Saccharomyces cerevisiae S288C: one gene and its partner. The gene in region 1 interacts genetically with each later gene. Each region holds a gene or a part of one and is shown on either strand. Other genes may lie near its edges.

Region 1 (3,450 bases):
ATCGTTGATTGCAGAGAATAAAATATACAAGTTTAAAAAGGTTAAGAGGAAGAGAAAACAGATAATTTTGCAGCAACATGAGATAAATATTTTTCTTCGAGACTACCAAGAGAAACAACAAACTTTTAATAAAATCAATCGTCCAGAAGAGACACAGGAGGATGACAAGGATTTGCCTAATTTCGAAAGAAAACTACAACAGCTAGAGAAGGAACTGAAAAATGAAGATGAGAACTTTGAATTGGATATCAACTCTAAAAAAGACAAATACGCTTTATTCTCATCTTCTTCTGATCCATCGAGGCGCACAAATATATTGTCTGACAGAGCTCGAGACCTAGACTTAAATGAAATATTTACTAGAGATGAGCAATATGGTGAATATATGGAGCTGGAACAATTTCATTCTTTATGGTTGAATGTAATTAAACGGGGCGATTGTTCACTGCTTCAATTTCTCGACATCCTAGAATTATTTTTGGACGACGAGAAATATTTGCTAACCCCACCGATGGATCGCAAGAATGATAGATACATGGCCTTTTTGCTAAAGTTGAGCAAATATGTAGAAACTTTTTTCTTCAAAAGTTATGCTTTGCTTGACGCTGCGGCAGTTGAAAATCTAATCAAATCTGACTTCGAACATTCATACTGTAGGGGATCTCTTCGGTCCGAGGCAAAAGGTATCTATTGCCCTTTTTGTTCGAGGTGGTTCAAGACATCTTCCGTTTTCGAAAGCCATTTAGTAGGGAAAATTCATAAGAAAAATGAATCTAAAAGAAGAAATTTTGTGTACTCTGAATATAAACTGCATCGGTATTTGAAATATTTAAATGATGAATTTTCTCGAACGAGAAGTTTTGTTGAAAGAAAACTGGCATTTACTGCAAATGAAAGAATGGCAGAAATGGATATCTTAACACAGAAGTATGAAGCACCTGCATATGATTCGACGGAAAAAGAGGGGGCCGAACAAGTGGATGGTGAGCAGAGAGATGGTCAACTGCAAGAAGAGCACCTCTCTGGTAAATCGTTTGACATGCCATTGGGTCCGGATGGATTGCCTATGCCATACTGGCTATACAAACTGCATGGGCTTGACAGAGAGTATCGCTGCGAAATTTGTTCGAATAAAGTTTATAATGGGCGACGCACTTTTGAAAGACATTTCAACGAAGAAAGACATATTTATCACTTGCGATGCCTTGGTATCGAACCTTCTTCAGTATTCAAGGGCATAACCAAAATTAAGGAGGCACAAGAGCTCTGGAAAAATATGCAGGGGCAGTCACAGTTGACATCTATTGCAGCAGTTCCCCCAAAGCCTAATCCTTCACAACTAAAAGTTCCTACAGAATTAGAACTAGAAGAAGAAGACGAAGAAGGAAATGTAATGAGTAAGAAGGTCTACGATGAACTTAAGAAGCAAGGTTTGGTGTGAAATCTCTCTGTGATATGTATATTTGTTTGATAGATAGCAGTTGTATGTATTTATACTATTCTTAGTAATGACCTTATTACCCGTCTTGTAGAATTGAAAGGCGAAAAACAATTTGAGGACCCATATAATGGAAGAAAACGGACGTGAAAGTTAAATATACGTACCAGAAGACAAATCACAGTAATAAACTAACAAAACTATATAATAATAATGGACCCACATAATCCAATTGGTATGTTGTTGATATTTTTAGTGTTTGTGGAGGCAATTGAGCTCGGTGCCCCTTTTGGCTTTGCCTCTTTTGCATTTTAGTTCTTTTACCCCTATATTATTAATACTAACCATCTCGATATAGTCCTTGATCAGGGTACTGGTTTCGTCAAAATTGGTCGTGCTGGCGAGAATTTCCCAGATTACACGTTTCCTTCTATTGTTGGTAGACCCATCTTGAGGGCGGAAGAACGTGCCAGCGTTGCTACACCATTAAAGGACATTATGATTGGTGATGAGGCAAGTGAAGTTCGCTCTTATCTGCAAATATCTTATCCTATGGAAAACGGTATTATTAAGAATTGGACAGATATGGAACTTCTTTGGGATTACGCCTTTTTCGAGCAAATGAAACTACCATCCACCTCCAACGGTAAGATTTTACTAACGGAACCTCCAATGAATCCGCTGAAAAATAGGGAAAAAATGTGTGAGGTAATGTTCGAAAAATACGATTTTGGCGGAGTTTATGTTGCCATCCAAGCTGTTCTAGCATTGTACGCACAAGGTTTGTCTTCAGGAGTCGTCGTCGATTCCGGTGACGGTGTTACTCATATAGTCCCAGTTTACGAATCTGTCGTTTTGAGCCACTTAACAAGAAGATTAGATGTTGCGGGTAGAGACGTTACTAGGCATTTGATTGATCTGCTTTCTCGTCGTGGTTATGCATTTAACAGAACTGCAGATTTCGAAACTGTGCGTCAGATAAAGGAAAAATTATGTTATGTTTCATATGATTTAGACCTAGATACAAAATTGGCTAGAGAAACAACCGCCCTTGTGGAATCGTATGAGTTACCAGATGGCAGGACAATCAAAGTGGGACAAGAGAGATTTGAAGCACCAGAATGTTTGTTCCAACCTGGTTTGGTTGACGTTGAACAACCTGGCGTGGGCGAGCTGTTATTTAATACTGTGCAATCGGCTGATGTTGATATCAGAAGTTCCCTGTATAAGGCCATTGTTCTTTCAGGTGGTTCAAGTATGTACCCAGGGCTGCCTTCGAGATTAGAGAAAGAATTGAAACAATTATGGTTTAGTAGAGTTTTACACAATGACCCTTCAAGACTTGATAAATTCAAAGTTAGAATTGAAGATCCTCCAAGGAGAAAGCATATGGTTTTCATTGGTGGTGCCGTTTTAGCTAGTATCATGGCTGATAAAGACCACATGTGGTTGTCTAAGCAAGAATGGCAAGAAAGCGGGCCATCTGCAATGACTAAATTTGGTCCAAGATAGATTTGAACTTTATTGATCCAAAAGAATTAATAAAAAAGTTTAAATCTACGAATGAAAAATGGAAATGGAATAATATAAACTTATATATAAATGTAATAAGTTAATAAGGCACAATTGTTGAACAAGCAATCAAAATATAATATTTCACTGAGCGCCGTTAGAGGATAGTTATCCTTTTCTTGGTATTTCAAGTATTCAGTGTCTGTGTCGAAAAATTGATTGATGATTTATTTAAATGAATATATATAAATATGTAAAAAAGAGTTGATCAAAGTAAATAAATCAGTACATGCATGGCAAACTCTAAATGTATTTATGTTCATAACTGGCACATGCTTTTCTTCCTTATGCGGCTCTTCTAAATTTTGTAATCTGCAAATTTCCTTAAAACAGTGTCTACCACATCATTGAGATCATCTTGTGATATATGAGGCTTCTCAGAGCCATATCTAACGGCATTCCTAATAAGGTCTTCCATAATCGATCCGGATATCATAAAA
Region 2 (5,714 bases), on another chromosome or scaffold:
CCATCTGCATTGTCACCATCTTTTAAGATTTCAATCTCTTTTGAAGCTGGGTTAAATTTAAGCGGTAGAGGCGTATAATTGCGGACCACCATGACTTCCGGTTGTTTGATCTCGACGGACCACAGATTTTCCGCAGTCATCAATGACCATATGTTAACTTTCTGCTTAAACAACGGAGTTACTTCCAATAAAAAATGTGATGAATCAATATCTCGCTTGTGTGAAATCTTGTACTTGACAAAATAAGATGGAGATAACTCATGTTTGTTTTCCCTCTCACTTGTGTACCTGTAGGTTAAATAACTGCTTACTGCTCCAACTGTCAGTAGGCAGCCTGTGATAAAAAAGTTCTTAGAGAAGCTGCTCTTTCTAGGTGACTTATGAAGCCTACGTGTTATTCGGGAACTGGATAGAACATAATTTTTCCACAGCATGCTACTTTTTCTTTTTTTCGTTTCCTCTTTTCTATTTTTGAAGGGTTCTTTCAACACGTTGCACTCTTCGAAGTTGTATTTTTCACTTGGGTTAAGTGAATTTTCACTCTTCATTAGGGTATGATGATATTAACAACATTTCAGAAGGGCAAGGAAAGGCGAAAAACTGAATTATGGAATATACTCTCTCTTTGCGGCTGGTTAAGATGCGACGGCGTAGAAATATTATGAGAGAGCCCATGCATTGTACAGTGAAAGTGCAAAACAAGTTCATTAACACGAATCTGTTTTAAGTGTATATATTATGTATATGATATTTGACGACGTGTGTTGGTTTGGTTTACAATTTCATAATGAGAAAAATAAAAAGAAGCATTACGAGAAGCACAATCAACAAATACACCCTCCATCTGCTCGTACGTTTTTGGTACCGCATGGCCTTCCTTAGCTCGTCTGAAGCCAATTGAGTGTTATCTGACGTTGTATAAATATTTGCTTCAATATTGTCAACTAGCACACCCTGCTGTTGAACAACACTTCCCAAATCTTTAAAAACTTCGTTCAGTTCCGTTATACCTCTTTCAATATTGCTGATTTCCTGGTCTCTTTGCTCGATAAGATTTTGCTGATAAGCAAACTCTTCGTTATTTATCGGGTCTCTCTCAATGACTATTTGGCTGCCTGGTATTCGAGTACTTTTTGAGCTATTCTGCCTTTGTTCTTCATCTAATAAAGCAGCATCATTTGCCATCTCACTTGCTTCAAGAGATTCTTTTGCTCTTTCATTAACTTGTTTCATTACTTGGGTAAACTGCCGCTGAATACCTTGAAACTCTTGAAAAGAGTAACTGACATCCCTCACAAGTTTCTCTCTCGCTATTATTTGAGTCTTATCCAGGCTAGCTTCCTCAATCGCATCCATCTTTTTCACTGATGTATTGACCTTTTTAATGAGCCCGCCTATTTCTTCTATCTTTGCCACAGATCTCTTATTAATTCTTTCCACAACTTTCGCACTAACATCTCCCCGATCTATAAATGACTTAAGTGTCGCGGTAAACTGCTGCAGCGTGCTTATTTGCCCATTTATTTCAAATAACTCTGCAGCAACCTCTTCTTTCAACGTTTGGAACTCAGGTGAATCACTGAATCTGGAACCGTTCCAAACGGCTTCATTATCACCACCAAAAAATTCGTCTTCCGACATCTCAACACAATTATTGTAGTAATTTACGTTATATTCTTCTATAAAAGCATTCTCTTTGGAGTGATAGCAGGCCTGTTTTATAGGGGATTATACTCTGGCGCAGTAGTTCATCGTCGATCATGATGATTATCAGCCGCGATAAGGCACGAAGGCTTAAATCCAATTACGAATCTTCTACTTAATAGTGAAGACGTTTTATCTAAACTACTCACATGAAAAGATTACTAAAAAATTAGAATCACGATGCCACTGTGTGAGAAAGGGAATGATCCAATCGATAGCTCTACTATTGATAGCCTCTGCGCTGCATTTGACAAGACTTTGAAATCCACCCCTGATGTCCAAAAATACAATGATGCTATAAATACAATTTTCCAGCTAAGGCAAAAATCTGAATCTGGGAAAATGCCGGCTGATTTAACGAATAGTGAAGCCCTTAAAGATCGTCAGAAAATCGAAGAAATATTGACCAGGTCTTACCAAGACCATTCTGAGTCCCGCGTACATTTATCTAAACTTATACAGAATGATATTCCCTTCGCACTCAATTTATTTGAAATATTATCAAGATCATCCATCCACGTTTTCGTTGGTTGCTTTTCCAATAAAGACGCAACAATTGCATTGTTAAATGAGCTGCAAATTAGGATACACTATGGCGAGGACACCCACGTCACGTATTTACTGAGCATAATTCTACAACTATTGAATAAGTTCAAGTACAATTTCAAGGAGGTGCGATTTTTAGTGAAGGAACTTATTTTGCGCATAAGCGAAGATGAAGTAAAATCGATGATGCTTATAATTTTTGCTGAATTACAATCAAGCTTCCAAAAAGACTTTGATAAAGCAGTGGTCGATTTCATGAGTAGCTTAATTGTGGAGGCAGAAATAGACGTTGGAAATGATCCATTGTCCATCATAGTCAAAACCCTATCAGAATTATATCCTTCATTGACAACACTTTGTTCTGAAATATTTTTGACCAAAGGACTAAGTAAGCTTTTTAAGAAGAGAGTATTCGAAGAGCAGGATTTACAGTTTACAAAAGAACTGCTGCGGTTATTATCTTCCGCGTGTATTGATGAGACCATGAGAACGTATATTACAGAAAATTACCTTCAACTATTGGAAAGATCACTAAACGTGGAAGATGTACAAATATATTCTGCATTGGTGTTAGTTAAGACATGGTCTTTCACAAAATTAACGTGTATAAACTTGAAGCAACTGTCCGAAATCTTTATAAACGCTATTTCAAGACGTATCATGCCAAAAATTGAAAATGTCAATGAAAGTGCGGTTAAGCTCGAGGAGGTTCCTAAAGTTGAAATGTCCGTTGAAGCGCTGGCATATTTAAGTCTAAAGGCCTCGGTTAAGATTATGATTAGGAGTAACGAGAGCTTTACTGAAATTCTATTAACTATGATTAAAAGCCAGAAAATGACGCACTGTTTATATGGTCTCTTAGTTATCATGGCAAATTTGTCCACTTTACCAGAGGAATCCAATGGTAGTTCACAGTCTATCAATGACTTAAAAAATTACGCAGATTTGAAGGGCCCAGGCGCAGACAAGGTAGGCGCAGAGAAAGAATCAAAGGAAGATATTCTTTTGTTTAACGAAAAGTACATATTAAGGACCGAGCTGATTTCCTTTTTGAAGAGGGAAATGCACAATTTGAGCCCCAATTGTAAACAACAAGTGGTTAGGGTTATATATAACATAACCCGCTCGAAAAACTTCATTCCTCAATGCATTTCACAAGGTGGTACAACTATCATCTTAGAATATTTGGCCAATAAGCAGGACATAGGGGAGCCAATACGGATTCTAGGGTGTCGGGCATTAACAAGAATGCTAATATTCACTAATCCGGGTTTGATATTTAAAAAATACTCTGCATTAAACGCTATCCCCTTCTTGTTCGAATTGTTGCCAAGGTCTACGCCAGTGGATGACAATCCGTTACATAACGACGAACAAATAAAGCTGACAGACAATTACGAGGCACTATTAGCTCTGACGAACTTGGCATCATCGGAGACCTCTGATGGTGAAGAAGTTTGCAAGCATATCGTATCTACAAAAGTATATTGGTCCACGATTGAGAATCTGATGCTAGACGAAAACGTTCCTTTGCAAAGATCAACATTAGAGCTCATAAGTAATATGATGAGTCATCCATTAACGATTGCTGCTAAGTTCTTTAACTTGGAAAATCCTCAGAGTTTGAGAAATTTTAATATATTGGTGAAACTTCTTCAGTTATCCGACGTTGAGTCTCAACGAGCAGTGGCTGCTATCTTTGCTAACATTGCCACCACGATTCCATTGATAGCTAAGGAACTGTTAACCAAGAAAGAACTAATCGAAAATGCTATTCAGGTATTTGCGGATCAAATTGATGACATTGAGTTAAGACAAAGGTTACTTATGCTTTTTTTTGGATTATTCGAAGTGATACCGGATAATGGCACTAACGAGGTGTATCCGTTGCTGCAAGAAAATCAAAAATTAAAGGATGCTTTAAATATGTCTTTAAAGAGAGGCGATTCAGGACCAGAGTTTTCAGCGGCAATTCCCGTTATCCTTGCTAAAATTAAAGTCTAATATGGAAAGAATCGCCATGTTTAACTCTTCTTAATTTTCACTAAGAAATACAACAGCACCCTGATAATGAACACACAAGAACTATGTAAGATTTTCGTAGCCAGAGAATATCCTCTGGTAGTGGTGCCCTTTATATATTTTGTTCTATTTTTACACCAGAAGTATCACACTACTCTAAATTATGTCTGGTACCCTACGTGTTCTAAAAGAATCTGGGTGAGAGAAAAAGGAAGAAAGTGCTCCTTTTTTTTTTTTTCAAAGGTGCCTCGGTCCGATGGCTTCGCAAACAATAGATGCCAAAGGAAATGATCTTCTCTTTTTCGCTTCTTTATTTTTTTTTAAGTTACGACTTCGTGCAGCCTGGGATGTACCAAGCTTGTTGTTAAACGAGCCTGACTTCTTAATCGCTTAATCTTAGTTGAATTTAGTAGTTCCAGTTTGTATGGCTGCTATTTTTGAGTATTTGGAATCATCTTTCGTTCAGCGATCTTTTTATCATTCACTTTGTCGTTTACAATTAGAAAGCGTCAAAACTTTGCATTTTTCATTTAATAATAACTGAACTCCACCAACTTTTTACTAGCAAGTTGTAAAGTTCATCGGTCAGATAAACATCTTAATTACCTGTGAAATACTCTACTGTTTCTTATGACCAGTATGTCAATTATTGATGATGAGAACGTGAAAAAAACTTCTAATGGGGCAGCTGTTGTCACTGATGTGGCTCAACACGCTGTAAGTGATTCGGACAATAACAAAGCGCAACTTCTAGGCGATGGATCCAACACTGAATATGTGGTTGATATTTTCATTGAAGCCGCTAAGGATGGGGATTTAAAAGTGGTGAAGGACGTGGTCGAAAGTGGAGCAGTGGATATTAATAACGACCGCATTGATGAATTATCCGGCTTACACTGGGCCTGTATAAACAATAGGTTTTCTGTAGCAAAGTTCCTATTACTTAGGGGAGCAAATCCTAACCAGGCGGCAGGCCCCGGAGGGGCTACTGCTTTGCACTGGGCCGCAAGGTACGGTAATATCTACATTGTTGACCTGCTTCTCAAACATGGCGCTGATCCGACGCTCAAAGATGAGCAGGGTCTTAACATCATGCATTTTAGCGTTTACAGTTCTAACATTTTACTTGTTGTTTATGTTCTTTATTTTGTCGTAAACAACAATGACAACGTCGATATCGATTCAAAAGATAACAATAACAGAACACCCCTACTTTGGGCTGCTTATCAAGGAGATTTTCTCACTGTAGAACTTTTATTGAAATTTGGCTCCACAGTTGCATGGACGGACAACAGAGGGTTCAATGCTCTCCATTGTGCTCTAGTTGGAGGTGATCAAAGGGTCATATGTGACTTAATACTTAGCGGTGCAAATTTCTACGAAAGGAATAACCAGAAGCAAGACTGTTTTGATCTAGCCGAAGGAATGGGAACCAAATCACT

Evidence for each region. Genes that interact genetically often act in the same process or in processes that back each other up.
Region 2: mutations in ARP2 (region 1) and SHE4 are lethal when combined (synthetic lethality), as found in Saccharomyces cerevisiae (5 studies listed by BioGRID, with this or other methods).

Annotation. Positions count from the first base shown.
Region 1 is NC_001136.10:397,689-401,138, forward strand, and holds ARP2 (actin-related protein 2), read left to right. Parts: upstream 1-1,651; coding exon 1,652-1,673; intron 1,674-1,796; coding exon 1,797-2,950; downstream 2,951-3,450. Other genes in the region: SF3a splicing factor complex subunit PRP9, read left to right, coding at 1-1,441; serine/threonine/tyrosine protein kinase MPS1, read right to left, coding at 3,309-3,450. UniProt on the Saccharomyces cerevisiae protein: Functions as ATP-binding component of the Arp2/3 complex which is involved in regulation of actin polymerization and together with an activating nucleation-promoting factor (NPF) mediates the formation of branched actin networks.
Region 2 is NC_001147.6:396,275-401,988, reverse strand, and holds SHE4 (She4p), read left to right. Parts: upstream 1-1,884; coding exon 1,885-4,254; downstream 4,255-5,714. Other genes in the region: CYC2 (oxidoreductase), read right to left, coding at 1-434; SNAP receptor PEP12, read right to left, coding at 775-1,641; YOR034C-A (uncharacterized protein), read left to right, coding at 4,321-4,563; putative palmitoyltransferase AKR2, read left to right, coding at 4,903-5,714. UniProt on the Saccharomyces cerevisiae protein: Required for mother cell-specific ho expression. Might be required for the transport of factors (such as ASH1) that promote HO repression from the mother cell into its bud.